Astyanax mexicanus: one gene and its partner. The protein of the gene in region 1 purifies or fractionates together with the protein of each later gene. This does not show direct contact. Links are inferred from orthologs where the notes say so. Each region holds a gene or a part of one and is shown on either strand. Other genes may lie near its edges.

Evidence for each region. Proteins that work in one complex are often made in the same cells at the same time.
Region 2: the proteins of hmg20a (region 1) and phf14 purify together in Homo sapiens (affinity purification with mass spectrometry; 3 studies listed by BioGRID and IntAct, counting the BioPlex papers as one, with this or other methods). This does not show direct contact. The link is inferred for Astyanax mexicanus from reciprocal best matches to the Homo sapiens genes HMG20A and PHF14.

What each region holds. Positions count from the first base shown.
Region 1 is NC_064409.1:44,231,712-44,239,212, reverse strand, and holds the start of hmg20a (high mobility group protein 20A), read right to left. Parts: upstream 3,022-7,501; 5' UTR 2,882-3,021; intron 2,303-2,881; 5' UTR 2,260-2,302; intron 807-2,259; exon of another isoform or gene 797-806; 5' UTR 777-796; coding exon 711-776; intron 491-710; coding exon 281-490; intron 1-280. UniProt on the Homo sapiens protein: Plays a role in neuronal differentiation as chromatin-associated protein. Acts as inhibitor of HMG20B. Overcomes the repressive effects of the neuronal silencer REST and induces the activation of neuronal-specific genes.
Region 2 is NC_064410.1:40,950,981-40,958,307, reverse strand, and holds the start of phf14 (PHD finger protein 14), read right to left. Parts: upstream 3,021-7,327; 5' UTR 3,006-3,020; coding exon 2,966-3,005; intron 2,259-2,965; exon of another isoform or gene 2,179-2,258; coding exon of another isoform or gene 2,178-2,178; exon of another isoform or gene 2,097-2,177; coding exon of another isoform or gene 2,096-2,096; intron 1-2,095. UniProt on the Homo sapiens protein: Histone-binding protein. Binds preferentially to unmodified histone H3 but can also bind to a lesser extent to histone H3 trimethylated at 'Lys-9' (H3K9me3) as well as to histone H3 monomethylated at 'Lys-27' (H3K27ac) and trimethylated at 'Lys-27' (H3K27me3).

The DNA.
Region 1 (7,501 bases):
TATTACTCTCTTGTAAATATTATTCTTTGCGCATTGGTGGGAATCTGCACCCAAGTTTTTCACTCACATGTACACCTGTACTCTGTGACGTGACAATAAAAATCTTGAATCTTGAATTGAATCTTGAATCACATGTGCCCAGGGAAATGGGCAGCATTTGTTGTAGTGTCCAGAGAACAGAGAGGGTTAAGGGCCTTGCAGCAGCTTAGCAATCTCTTCGTATGTATATATTTTTCGATTTGCTACATTTTAATTTTTTTTTTTTATAAAGTCTCCTCACCTGTTTCTCATCAGGCGGCAGTTTGCTCCACTCATTGCCAAGCATCCTGGTGATTTCTGGGAAGGGTACGTCCGGTCTCTCGGCACGCAGTTGCTCCCGCCGATCATTCATAAATCGTACATATCCGGTTAGGGGAGCTTTGGGTGCATTGCTGTCCTTTAAAGGCTTCTTTCTCTTCCTTCCTTTAGTCCAACTTGCCCTGCGTGGTTTCTGAAGGGCCAGAGAAAGACAGTCTCTGAGACCAAATTCAAAATCTTAAAGTTTAAATCAAATCATTATTCATCCCTCTCTATCTGCATCTTCTACAGTGATAGAATACTCAGAAAAGACATCTCTATGCTGATAGAGAGAATGATTCTGGTTGATATGGATTATTTTATGTACTTTCATTTTATTCAAAATATTTAATTATCATTAATTACAGTGTTACCTCCTCTCCATTCCTCTGGCTGCTGTTATCTGTGTTCGCTCCAGGTGAAGCACTCTGCTCTTCCATATCTTGTTACTCTTCACACACTAAACAGAACTACAGAACATCACACACAGACACACACATACGATATACAATAACCATAAGGTCACATTCTGTATCTCTTTCACAATTTTTCAGGGCATTTTTGCAAGAAATATATTATTAGTAATATGGAAAAGAAACATGGAAAAATATTTCATTACATTTCAACAAATATTTTACTGCAATACAAAAAGAAAGTTTTATTTCATGTAAGCTTAACAGTTTCAATCATTCAGCAAAACAAACAAAAATCGATCGTTTTGAATATTAAAGTAATTTACAAAGCAATTTGTATAAACTAATGAATATAAATAATAAATAAATAAATAATGTAGCATGAATACAATTTAATGTAGCAAAACAATCTGTCACAATACTAAATTGCAGAATATTAAGTACTTGCACTTATCACATAATCTGCAAACATAATACCATACATAATACATTTTTGGGTGGTACTTCCTCAGTGGTAATCTAAAGTATAAAAGTATACTTTTTTACAAAATATTTCTACATATTCCTGTACAGCTTTAATGACTTCAATATTAAATTTACAACGCAAAATCATAAAAAGAAATTAAACACACTGAATGAGAAGAGGTAAACACGATATGGCACACTCCTCTTACTTATACCTACTAACCCAAGTCTGAACAAAGCACAAAATTCTGCTATTTGTGTTTATTTTTGGGTATATCTTTATTACCTTTTATACAGCGAAACTGGCAAGTCTTGGCAGCATTGCAGACAATAAAATAAGTGTTAGTCTAATCAGTTAAGTTAGGGCAGTGTTTCTCAACCCTTTTTCTATCACGTCACCCTTTAAATATTTGCGAGATGTCAAGGCACCACAGTTTACGGGGGGGGGGGGGTGGGGGGGTGCTGGCGCAGTACTTCAGGTGAGAAGGGGGGGGGGGGATGCTGGCGCAGTACTTCAGACAACGAGGGGGGGGGGGTATGGGGGGGGCTGGCGCAGTACTTCAGGTGAGAACGGGGGGGGTGCTGTTGCAGTACTTCTGGTGAGAACGGGGGGGGGGGGATGATGGCGCAGTACTTCAGGTGAGAACGGGGGGTGTTGCTGGCGGAATATGAAATAAAATAGCGCGTCACAATTAGCGCGATTAGTGCTGCCTGTGATTTGGGACACACCCCGGCACCCTGGTTGAGAAACACTGAGTTAGGGCACTATCCAAGTCCAGGTCCGGGGGCGCCTCCCTGATTTTTTTTTTTTTTTTGCAAATTGGAATGTTATTTAACTTATATTCTCTATTTTTGAATTTGGTGCCTTATCAATATTCAGAAATGGGTATGGCCTCTTATGGGTTAAAGAATTTTCAGTTCCACTTTAAATTTTTCAGAATGTAACTAAGTTAGTTAACCTATCCTAGCTAAGAAACCATGTTTGGTAGTTAACTAGCTAATTACATTTGTTAGCTAACCTAGCGTTAGCTACCGCTAACGTTACCTTTTGTTGCCCGTCCCAAAACACCGAGTGGCTGTGTCCGAACCTGTAACGTTAGGTATTTGTCTCATTAGACTGTAGACAATATTTAGCAATCTGTGTTACAAACACATTACACTTACATTAAAAACATTATTAGCTAACTAAAACACTGACAACTTGCTGTCATAAATGCGGTCAGACTGAGGTAACTTACTAGGATGCGATATGAATGAGCGAAACAGACTAAGACATAAATACGTGATTTTCTGCGATCATAATACTTTATTTGTATAAATTTGAGACACAGCCTGTGTGGATATGCTGCACCAGTTAAGGTGGAATGAGAAATCCGAGTAAGAAAATTAAGTCAAATTCAGCCTCTGCGAAACATCTAGTTATCGCAGTTCTCCTGTAGCTACAGCTGTGACTGTAATCTGAACCTAATTAAAACCCTGATTATTAGAGTCTCTGCGCCGTGCAGGATAAACTCAGCTCATCGTGTTTAGACCCGCAGCAGCGACCCGACCGCAGCGGCTCCACAACACTACACTGAACTACAGCGCTTCTAACGGCGCTTCAGTACCAGAACACGGGCTGAGAGCAGCGCAGGCGAGCCCGCGGGGACAGTAAGAGAGTCACTGACCTGTATCTGACAAAATCGGAGTGTTTCAGGAGATTTTCTAAATAACAAACTGCACGAACCAAAACAATGCAAATAGCCACACGTCCGGCGTCATCACACGGCGACGGGTACGAGCTTGGTGGCGCTGTGGCCGCGGATGTACACAGTTTATGAATATGAAATATATTTAAAGTCTAAAGGCGGATTATTTGATCAATGTAATGGTGCGTTTAGATGTATTTGGATCAGAGTCGCGTGGTGCTTTTGGGATGTGTTATTTTGAGTCTACCGATTTGGACATTTTTCCCGGGGACTAGTTTGTGTGGCGGAGGGATATAGATCGGTGTTGGTGCATTCTCTCGCGAACTGACAGTGTGACCGTTGGCGCCCCCTGCTGAGACAGCGGGTTAAATACAGCCTGTAGTTTTCTATACTGTAGTCCCCAGATCAGCGCTTCATCATAAACTAAACAATATAAAATGGGGATAAATGGGGTGAATGCTTGTGATGGAATTCACGTGAGTTGTTTGTGAGTTCATTACAGTTAATGGCTGCTGTGGACAAAGTTGCAGCGTTTAAGGAGAAATTCGGTGTGAAATGGACTTGGGGTTTAGTGAAATATGATAAGTATGAACATTTGTTGAATATCTCACCTCCATTCAACCCCAGATTCTAAAATACAGCACTTTAGCGCATGCTCTGAACAGGCTTACAGTGCTAATGATAGGGACGTAGCGCTGCTTATGGCATTTCCAATGAATTAATTTGGCAGTCTGCTCTCTTATCCCAGCTATTCTTTCGTGCTTGTCAGTCAAATTATCATGACTTAATTTCAAGATGGCAGCATGCGGATAACTACCTCAGGGTACTGTGTGTATAAACAGTCTTTTTAAAGAACTGCTGGTGCACTTTTAAAGCTCTCAGTGCCTCATTTTAAATGTCAGGTCTTTTGGAATTCTACCAATAAAGTGTGGAGCTACTTTGATCTTGTTAATAGTGTAAAATTAGTGATAATGTTGTAAAATTAGTGAACTCTATGCCCCTTTTGCTAGCATTGTAAACCTGTTGGGATTATCGGCTAAAAGCGGTGAATAGAGGTGGACTATTCGACAAAAGTTTGTACTCATCATCATGTTTCACTTCACCCCAAGTCCATTTCACACCAAATTTCTCCTTTAACTTTCACACACAACGTTACATACTTATTCTAATTTATTTTACATTAATGGCATTTGTAGTGGCATTTTGTTGGTGTTAAATGGTGATGTTGGGACTAAGCAGGAACTAATGGATAGAGCTGCATTAACAAATAAATCAATTCTATTAACAACCAAATAACTATATAGCTTTTAATATATATTTACAATATAATCTCAGTTAATCTGAAAATAGTGCTTAAGTGATTTCCCAGGCTAAAGATTTTTCCATGATATAATATCCTTTTTTTTATGACATTTTCATCATGGTTCTGTAAAAACCAGAATCAAATGTGCTTATAGTCAGATACCAAAATACACAAAAGAAAAATAACACATACATTCATAAGTCAGATCCTGTGGACGTAGTAAAATAAAATAGTTAAGTTTAGAAGTAAACTTAGCCTGTCTATAAGGCCAAATAAGCTGCCCTCTAGTGATTGTTTTTAAGATTCTCTAAATAAATCAGTCAGGCCTCTTCCAAATCCCTGTATCAAAACTCCCTCGCTCTGTCTGTCATTGTCTTTAAATGTAATCAGAAAAGGCTTGTATCTTCAAAATGGCAACTTTACTGGAAAAGAGAAAAAAAACTTTTGTTTTCAATTAAATTAAAAGTAAAGAATTTTGGATTATTTATAGTAGTCCAATAATCATTAAATTCTAATATAATATGAATTTCCCAGATAAGTCAAATAAATATGTCAGCTGACATAAGTGAAACGTTTTTATATGTAAGCAACAATATGCATCATCTCTATAAATTACTAATCTGAATAATAATGAAGTAGCGCAATGGTCTTTTGAATAAGAAGTAGTATACATGTACATGTCAGGTTGTCAGTTAGAGGTGTGCTATCAAACTGTACAAAATTCTTTTTTTAGAAATAACAAAAATAGTGGTATTCTGTCTCAAAAGCAGTATAAATAAATTCTAGACAAATGTTTACAGATAGTTTTTTTTTTTCAAATTTTCTTTTTTAAGTTATACTAAATCGTCAATGACAACAACATAATTGCAGGAATTGGGTGGCACAGTGGCTTAGTGATTAGTAGTTTGCTTTCCAGTGCTGACATCTTAGGTTTAAGGACAAATTGGTAAATTGGATAGTTTAAATTCCCAGAAAAAATAGATTCTCTAATGACATGTAAATAAAATGTGGTTGCAATGATTCAATTTTGACTTTTCATTCATACTGACTGTTAATTAAAACTAAATTCCAATTACATCTTTATTGTTTATTATTTAACTGTTATATAATAAAACGTACTATAGATAGATAGATACCTGCTATCTTCTATACTTAATTTATTCTTTTAATCTATCTATCTATCTATCTATCTATCTATCTATCTATCTATCTATCTATCTATCTATCTATCTATCTATCTATCTATCTATCTATCTATCTATCTATCTATCTATCTGTTATACTTAAGCAATAGAACACGAGAGGGAGTGTGTTATCGCGAAATAAAGCATATTCAAACTGAATAAATTTTTTTTTCTTAAAGTTCAGTTTGATGATCTACGGCACGAGCCAAACCAAATCACAGCTGTAATGTTATTCGTGATAACACACAACCTCGAGTGTTCTATTGCTTTTATACAACTAAATAAATTACTAAATAAATAAAGAAAATAAATCAAAGAACTTTGAGAAATTCAGTTTGAATATGCTTTAATATGGACTGAGCCTTCCGCCAAAAAGTAGTTCCACCACAACTTAACTACATACAGTGTATGGTTCAGGCAGACTAACACCACGAAAGTTAGCTTGAAAGCAAAATTGGGAATAGTGAAGATGGTAACGTTAGGAGCGTGAAATAACACTAATACTCTCCTCTTCTGCTCCGTGGAGTCGTCTTCAGGTGAAAGCCGCGAATTTTAGCATTTCTGCTTATTTTCCTGGGTGGTGTTGGTTTTAGCTAGCTGGCTGGACTGTGGTTAGGTTAGCGAAGCTTGCTTTAGCTCAGCATTAACTTAGCTTAGCCTAGCCTGGCTGGTTAGCGTTCTGGCTGTAAGACGGAATTAACCGAGCGATTTTCGTTCCCTTTTTTCCACGAAAGACGAGCCAGCGCTGCGGGCGAGCGTGCCGCGGCTGAGCTCTAGTCTGTGCTAAGCTAACGCTGCTGCGGGTGTCCTGTGTATATACGCTGTTACTTTAGTGTGAGAAGGCCGTGATGTTATCATGAAATATCATCACGGCTAGATCACTTCTCAACCAATCAGATTGTGAGGTCGGAACTAACTGTTGTATAAAATATAACATACTATATTTATTATACTTAATGTTCACCCCATATGGCATTTTAATGTTCTTGTTGCATGTTTTTAATTTAAGCGAGCTGACGTTAAAACATGTCTGTATATACTGCGATTTTTCTAAAAGAAAGGTAACGGAGCTAACCATGTAAACTGTTATAAGATTATTTCTGATAGCTGGTTAAAAATACACAAATCAAACCCCAGAGATCAAACCCACTGTGAGCTTAATTAAATACAGTTTGTGATAGTCACTGTGACTTGTAGACTAGGATTACAGGATTACTGTCAGCTATAATGAAGGAAAATTCTTTTAGCTAGCCAAACTAGATACCTAGAAGCTGGATGTAGTGGATGGCCAGAATTTAGTACAATACTTTTTGTTGGTAGTTTAAAGCAGTTTCTTAACCCTGATCACTGCCCTGAAATTGTGTGTTTTCACCTGATCCATCATTTATTGAGTATCCCTTAGCCCCTTAGATTTACTAATGGAATATATCTGGTCCTTTGGTAAAAGCTCATGATAGACTAGGAGGGTTTGGGTTATCTAATGTTTATATTAACTTCTGCCAGAAATCTCTATGAAACATAAGGTTGCATTCTTTTACATAAAAGATTACCATGATAAGAAGTACTTTTAATCGAAACCCCCCCCCCCCCCCCCCCAAAAAAAAAAAAACCCAAAGGACCCTAAAAAAGAGTGGCGTAAATGTAAATACACAAATATATAACAGAATTGACATGTCAATAATAATAATAATAATAATAATAATAATAATTATTATTATTATTATTAAATCTGTTATATTGTTTTCAACATTAGGTGATACCTCAGCAGTTTTTTCATAATTAATTTATGAACGTATTTAATTCAGACATTGCACGCATACTTTTTTTTAACAACAGTAAATGTAAAGTGACCCTTACTTGAATGTACCTAATAATAAACAGAAGCACAGAAAATAATGGTTGATTTGTGATTAAAAGTATTTCCACAAATGTTGTTCTGAGACGCTGTAAGGTGGGCTTTGATTTAGATTAGCAGATGTGTCCCCCCCAATATCAAACCCACTCCTACGCCCTTGATTGGGTATATAGAAAGGTGCTATATGAGGCGCTTGTGTGTATAGAAAGGCACTGATGAAGTGTGATATTATGATAAATAGAAATAGATGATAGATG
Region 2 (7,327 bases), on another chromosome or scaffold:
AAAATAGATGATTTAAGAGGCGAATTAAATGTTAACAAAGGTACAAGAAGAGCTGAACAATATATCAACATTTTATTGTGATACATTTTCGTATCGTATTGACAATAAGCATATCGATAATATTATCAGTACTTAAAGAACACTTACCCAACTGTAGATTTTATGACAGTGTAAAAAATCTGATTTAATTGAATGAAGTGCAGCAAAAAATAATAAAAAATCACCTAGCACAGCAGTTCTATGTATGAAAGAGTATTTTAATAGCATCAAATGCCTATGTTGATGCATTTGCCTGCAAGTGAACATATGATAAATACTGTGTATTGTAAAAATGTCTTTCAATATTATGATATACTATACCCATATACCATATCACCCAGCTCTATTAGTGTGTGATTATGTACACCAAGGCTGGTGCTTTTGTACTGTTTGTATTAATATTAGAATTGTATTGTATCGATCAAAATTTAGAAATATATTGTGATACAGCTTTTTTTCTTTTTTCATACTGTTCAGCTCTAGGTTCACGAGTGACAATATAAGAGCTAATAAGAGTACAAGAGTAGCAAGGGACACATTCTATCATAAGTAGTACAGACCTTAACAGCATAAATTGCTAAAAGTATTTTTGAGCAAAATAGTCTTTAAAAAAACAAAAAAAACTAATTTCTCTATGAATATTATACAGCTATAAAGAGACCAATACAGTTTCTGAATCAGTTTCTCTGATTTTGCTATGCATAGGTATATGTTTAGATAAAATGAACATTGCTGTTTTATTTTAGAAACTACGGACAACATTTCTCCCAAATTCCAAATAAAAATAGTCATTTAGAGCATTTATTTGCAGAAAATAAGAAATGGCTGAAATAACAAAAGATGCAGAGCTTTCAGACCTCAAAAAATACAAAGAAAACACATTTATATTCCTAAAGTTTTTCAAGTTGGTAAAATCAAAGAAACTCATCATTTTAAGTGGTCTCTTATTTTTTCCAGAGCTGTATAGGTGTATACAGAGCTTTGCTAAATATAACATTAAATTCGTAATAAAGTCATTTTCTTCTGAAATGCAAAGACCCAAACAAATTTACAAGTAACATAACAGCAGGGTTAAATTTAGCCAATTTATAGTTACGCAGACAACTAATTATAGCTATAAATTATAATTTCATCATCACGACTTTATTTGGAAAAAATACATTTTTTTTAAGCATCCAAACTTCGGTCCAGTCTTTGTTTACAAATGTGATATCCCAAAAGCTAATACAAGCTGGAACAGACATTTGAGACCTAACTTGTAATAAAGGATACATTTTATATTGGTATTTTGAAAACCCTTCTTATAAAAGGAAACTGCTTAATAAATAACAAAAGCAAAGTCTAAAGAAGGCAGGAACCTTTCAATGGCTAGCTAGGTTAGCTAACGTTCCCTAACACAAACAGTGCACTAGTTAATTAGCTAAGCTAGCTTACTAGGTAACTTACCTTTTTAAACGGGCTAGCTAGCAAGCTTGTCAGATTGACTGTCGCTTGGGAATCATATATGTATACGATAATCGATTAAATAGCTAATGAAAATAACCAGAATATTAGGACCATCAGACACCAAGACTCATATTTATGACGTTTAAAACCAAGCTTTTTTTGTACTGGCTAGCTTAGCCACTCAAGCCCTAGCTAAGCTAACCTTATATCAGCCAGTGTAAATGTATATAGGTTCGCTAACCTAGCTAGCTAACTAAAAGCTCTCCAGTGATGAAGAATTAAGTAGTAAAATAAACAATAATCGTAGAGGAAAGACGAGACGATTGCGCAGGGTTAAACTGCAGTTAACGCAATTTTACTAACTAGTAATCTTCATGCAAACACATTGTAACAGTTACAACTCACTCATTCAAAGCTGCCCAGCTATCTAAGTTAGCCTGCTAACTAGCTAACCCTGGCTAGCAATAGCATCAATCAACCCTGGGAAAAAAACACACAGAATCACAAAGAAAATCCGGTTAAAGTGCAGCACACTTAAATATCAGCTCAGTAACCCATATATGACATTTTCTGCTGCAGAACATTAATCACAATGTAGCACATCACCTACTTTTCTAGGCTTCGGTCTCAGATAGCTAGCCCGCTCAGCGGTACAATGGGCTGCTCTCGGACTCTGTGTACTACGTACTCACTGTGTGCTGACGTAGAGCGCAGAAATCGTGCTTAGAACTGCGTAGCAACCCCCCATCCACAGATCTCAGCTTTCAATACCATAGCAACGCAGCGCTGACTACCAGCAGCCCTTATACTGTAGGGCACTAAGCACAGGCAGCGTCTTCGGTCGTGTTCCAATATGCTGCCTGGTGTGCTTTAACTTTTTTTTTTTTTTTAATCCTTTGAACCCCAGCCTATTTTGGTGTATTTTTTCTCCGTTTTTGTCCGTTTTCCTTTCACTTGTTATAGCATAGTTATGTTAGGAGCCACATGCTATTATTTTTATTTATGCCAGAAGACACTGAACTGCTCAAAAATATCATTATTCAGATGTAAATGTTTCCAGAATTTGTAAATCTTCATGGAATTGATCATCTTTTGATCAAAATTATACCCAGCGCCTGTTTTTTTTTCCACTTATTTATGAATGTACATCAATGTAATCAATTCACACAAGAGTTTTCTTGTCAGTAATATGTAATAATATGAGTGTATATTAGTTGAAATTATAAAGATTTTGATGATACTTCATTACATGGCTTATAACTGTGACAGAATAACGTTACATGAGCATCACCAGGTTTTATGGATTCATTTTTCTTGATATTCCCACCTCTGAGATGCATATTGCTAAAACCATCTGGACACTACTGGGTTTATTCAAATATTATTTGATTTCATACCTCATAAAAATATTTTAGAAGCACTAAAAGTACATATTATTGGCTAAAAAACGTTTTTAGCGGTTATAATTTAATTATCTTACTTTTATTCTTTTGATGAATCAGCGCCAGCAATAACGTCATGAGATTTACCTCAGACCCCGGAGTGAACGTAAACACGCTGATTATTTAAGACAAAAAATGGCGTTATAATAAAAGAATAAAGCATGGAAATATGAAGGTAAGCCATATTCTTTAGGTGGATTTCACAAAATATTTCTCAAAAACATTTACGTTCAGTGTGAGGTCAGTGCTATTTTTACACAAAACACGGGTTCCCTGTTTGTCACAATGTATGAATCATGCTGGTTCGTTGACGCATTTCTGAGTAATTAAGCTGTATAAACAATGCACGAGTTTTTAAACAATTTGCGTCAATGGGGTTATAAGGATTAAAGCAGAGGAGAGGGAATTACAAAGTTGTCAAAAGTGTTCACACTAATTACTTGGGTAGAATTTTAGATAATAGGGTTTTAAATACTTCTGTAGAAGTTGAAGTATTGGCTCAAGCACAAGTACTGTATGAGGAAAAAATTTCATTACCCAGCTGGCACACAGCCGACCTTCAACGTCGAAATGTGTTTGAAATATGACTAAAGTAATGTCTGTTGTTGTTTCAACGTTGAAATGTTGATTCAATGTTTATTCAACGTTGAAATGCCAGCTGGCTAGGGACAAAAACTTAAAAAGTAAAAAGTGAAAATGAAAGTAAAATGTTTTCTGAAAAGTAGTTACTCTGCTTCTGTAAGTTTCTTACTGTCAGTGTTTTACTAGTACTTTTACTAGTATTTCAGTATCTTGAAAAAATTGAATTTGTTGTTAGCTAGCAACTGCATTATTGGAGACACCGCAGTGACGCTGTTAATCATTACATTGGTTTATAAAATGATTTCCTCAGTTAGTGGAACATTTTTTTGTTAGTATTTTGTTAATATCAAGTACACTTTAGTTTTTTTTAACCAAAACATTTTTTTTTTTCAAATCCAACTTTTGTGCTGCTATTCCTGTAACACTGACACTTGTTTTACAGCTTGATAAGAATGACCAGCAAGATACCCAGCTTGCTAGTTAAAGCAGCATCATGTGATATATGTTATTTTTATGCTCATGGGCTAACCCTACAGATGAAAAGGGGAATTTGCACCTCTCATAAATCACAGGTTTTCGTGCATTTTTGGAGTTCTGATAGGTACAGAAAGTTGAATAAGCATGACAACAGAGGCAGTAGAGTAATAATACAGAAACATACAAATATGAATCTTTATGGCCCACAGGTTGCACAAGTGTTGTCGTTCCTACTTTTCCAAAGTTATATTGTGCCAAGCCTGGAGTAGCAACATGATGAAATATGTACACTATTCTCCCTATTACAGGTCAGTTGATCATTACAGTGATTGTATACAGTTATTTAAAAAAAGAACGTCATAAGCACATATTAAACATAGTGTAAATGAACTGAAAATGGGTGAATCATTCTTCTGACAGCATACTTCAAAAATTCTGCCAGCTCTGATACGGAGTTTGCTCTGAGGACTGCTTCAGTGGACCTAACGTTTCTGTTTGGTTTGATTTCTGCTTTATTTATGCCCTCATTCTTAGTGTTGACATTCAGAGTATAACACCATGGCTACCGGCCTCCCTCGTGTGCACAGCCAGCTCAAAAGCTCATAGTACAGAAGATTCAGAGTCAACAGGGTCATGTAGCATGCCTTATCTTTCACTATCTCCACACCACAATTTCAGTCAGAGTCAGATGCAGTGGAATATTCATTCCGATCCCGTCGTACACTGCAAATGTAAACTATTGATCTTCATTATTCCATTGTTTTAGAAAAGGTCATTTTTGCCTCGAGGCCGAGGTAAGTAACCGAGCTTAAAGACAACATTAGACCGTGTGTTAGGTGGCTACCTTGCCCTCATTTACATACCATGACATTTTCGACAGATTGTTTAATAGAGGAAAATTCAAGCTAAATATCATTTTGTTCAAAGGCGAACATGTTTATTGTGAAATAAACTGTAAACTAACAGGTTGACATGCAGGGAAATACGCATGTGTAACACAGAATGGCAAGAACATTTAGTGTGACTGGGGAAATTACTGTTTTGGCTTGTTTTCAGAGCAAGGTTTGTTTCTATTGTCCTCCCTTGACTTTGCAAGTTTAGCAAAACAGGAGACGATTAAAATAAATGAGCCTAGATTGATCCTGATACACGGCAGGGAAAGACTGATGGGGGAGGCGAGCGAAAGGGATGATTACGACTGTCCTTGCCCGATGACAAATGGCACTGCATTGTGCTGGAAAGCAACCGTTTTTTATCTCTTGGCATCAAAACACTTTTGGGATATCATCATAGCCATCAACGTCATCATCACTGTCACCTCTCTTTTATTGCCTGTATTTGCTGTTGTACATTATGTTGATGTTGCCTAAATATGAAATCAGTCTAGTCTCACATTATACAAGGTCAGTGTGGATAAATAACTTACTGAAGGAATCATTTTTGTTGTTAAATGATACATTTATTAATATCCTAATATTTTATGATTAATTATATAGTTTTTTTTGTGAAAATATGGCAACCAACAGTCAACATTACAGCCGTTAACAGTTATTGTGTTTTTGCCTGTACAATCCCTCATATTAGGGGTCATAAATCTCAACAATAACAGGCCAGTGTGACTACAGGCTTTTCAATGTTTTTAAGTAGGGACCTTTAGTTTCCTTGCTATGTTTTTATGTTGTGTTAGGTTTTTTATTATTTTGCTTTTTTATGTGGTTTTGCCATAATTGTCTTTTCTTACACACAACACGTGCAGTAGTTACCAGTGTGCCCCAAAACAGTCCCTTGCAAACCAACTGTCAATTAGTCTTATGTAGTTTCCACCAACCTTAGTAACATCAAATGTGTATTTGTTAGTTTCCTAATTCTCTGTGACATAAACACCCAAGTGGGGTGGCAGATGCTTTAGTTATCACAAAGCATTGATATTAAGTCAAAAAACAGTAGTAAGCATAATTAAGAATTAGCTGTCATTAAAATCATTACTTACAGAAAGGGAAAATGATGCTCTGGAAAGGGGAGACTATTCCTTTAGAGTACACATAAAAAGGGTTAAATTCTCCAAACAAGCCAGTTAAGCCTTCAACAAAATAACAGTACAAAAGTGATAATAAAATAACAGTCACATTTTATTTCCAATAAGTTAATTTCAATGGAGAACTGTCAGTCTAGGAAAAGGGTATTTACTACACAGACTAGATTTCATATTTCTTTTAGATTAATCTTAAGTAACATAATTAAACCTAGTCTATTCAGTAGGAAAAACACTACACATACCAGTTGATTTATTGTATTTCCTACATGTAGATTAATGTTAAAGAACTAAATGTTAAACAGTTGAGGGATGCATATGGAATTATGTAGTAAACAACTACAACTGGTTAGCCTCCACAATTCCCTGATCTAAACCCAACAGAGAAGCTGGAGTGAAACTGGAGCTTCACAGCGTGAAACTATTGTTCAGCACATCCAGGAACTCCTTTAAGATGCATAAAAAACTATTCCAGGTGACACTCCCTCATGAAGACACTGAGATATAAATACTAAGAGTCTGCAGATCTTCCATCAAAGTGAAATGTGGTACTTAGAAGAATCTAAAGTACAGAGTATTCTGGTTTGTTTAACACTTTTAGTTTACAAAATAATTCCACACACGTTCCTGTATAACTTTTAATGTTTTCAAAAATCATAAAAAGAAAGAAAACACAAAAGAAATGTGGTATCAGAAGATGATAATGATGATCAGATTCTATAGACGATATATTGTTTTAAAATAAAAGCTATAAATGGTGTTATTGGCTTTTTAATGTAATTTTATCCCACTGATATAATGATAATACAGTAGCACAATAATGATTTTACTCATCACTGTTACAAAACAGTGAACTTAGACATTGGAATTGGAATATTATTTAATAAAATATCTTTCAAAAATAATACATAGATAAAGTAATACCACTTTTTAAATGAAAATAAAGTTGGCATCTTGCCTCATTCACATTATTAGATTATTTTAGCTTAATAAACATAACGGATAATATCATGGTCAGCAGAATGATTGAAGTCATGTCCATATATTGTAGGATAGGTTGATTAGATTAGATTTTTTCTGACAGGCCTACCCATATGTTAATGCTGCTGTAGGACATTTGTTTGGCTAGTCACCGAGTGTGGAAACTATCAATAGACTAACTGGTAGGTTTCTGTTAGCTCTTTAAATTGAAAATGATGCCAACTGTACAGCTCAAGGTTGTCAAATAAATGTTAATTTAATATTAAATATACAGTGTATTACCAGCAAATTCTCTCCAAAATCTCTCAGTACAGTTGTAACTATTCTG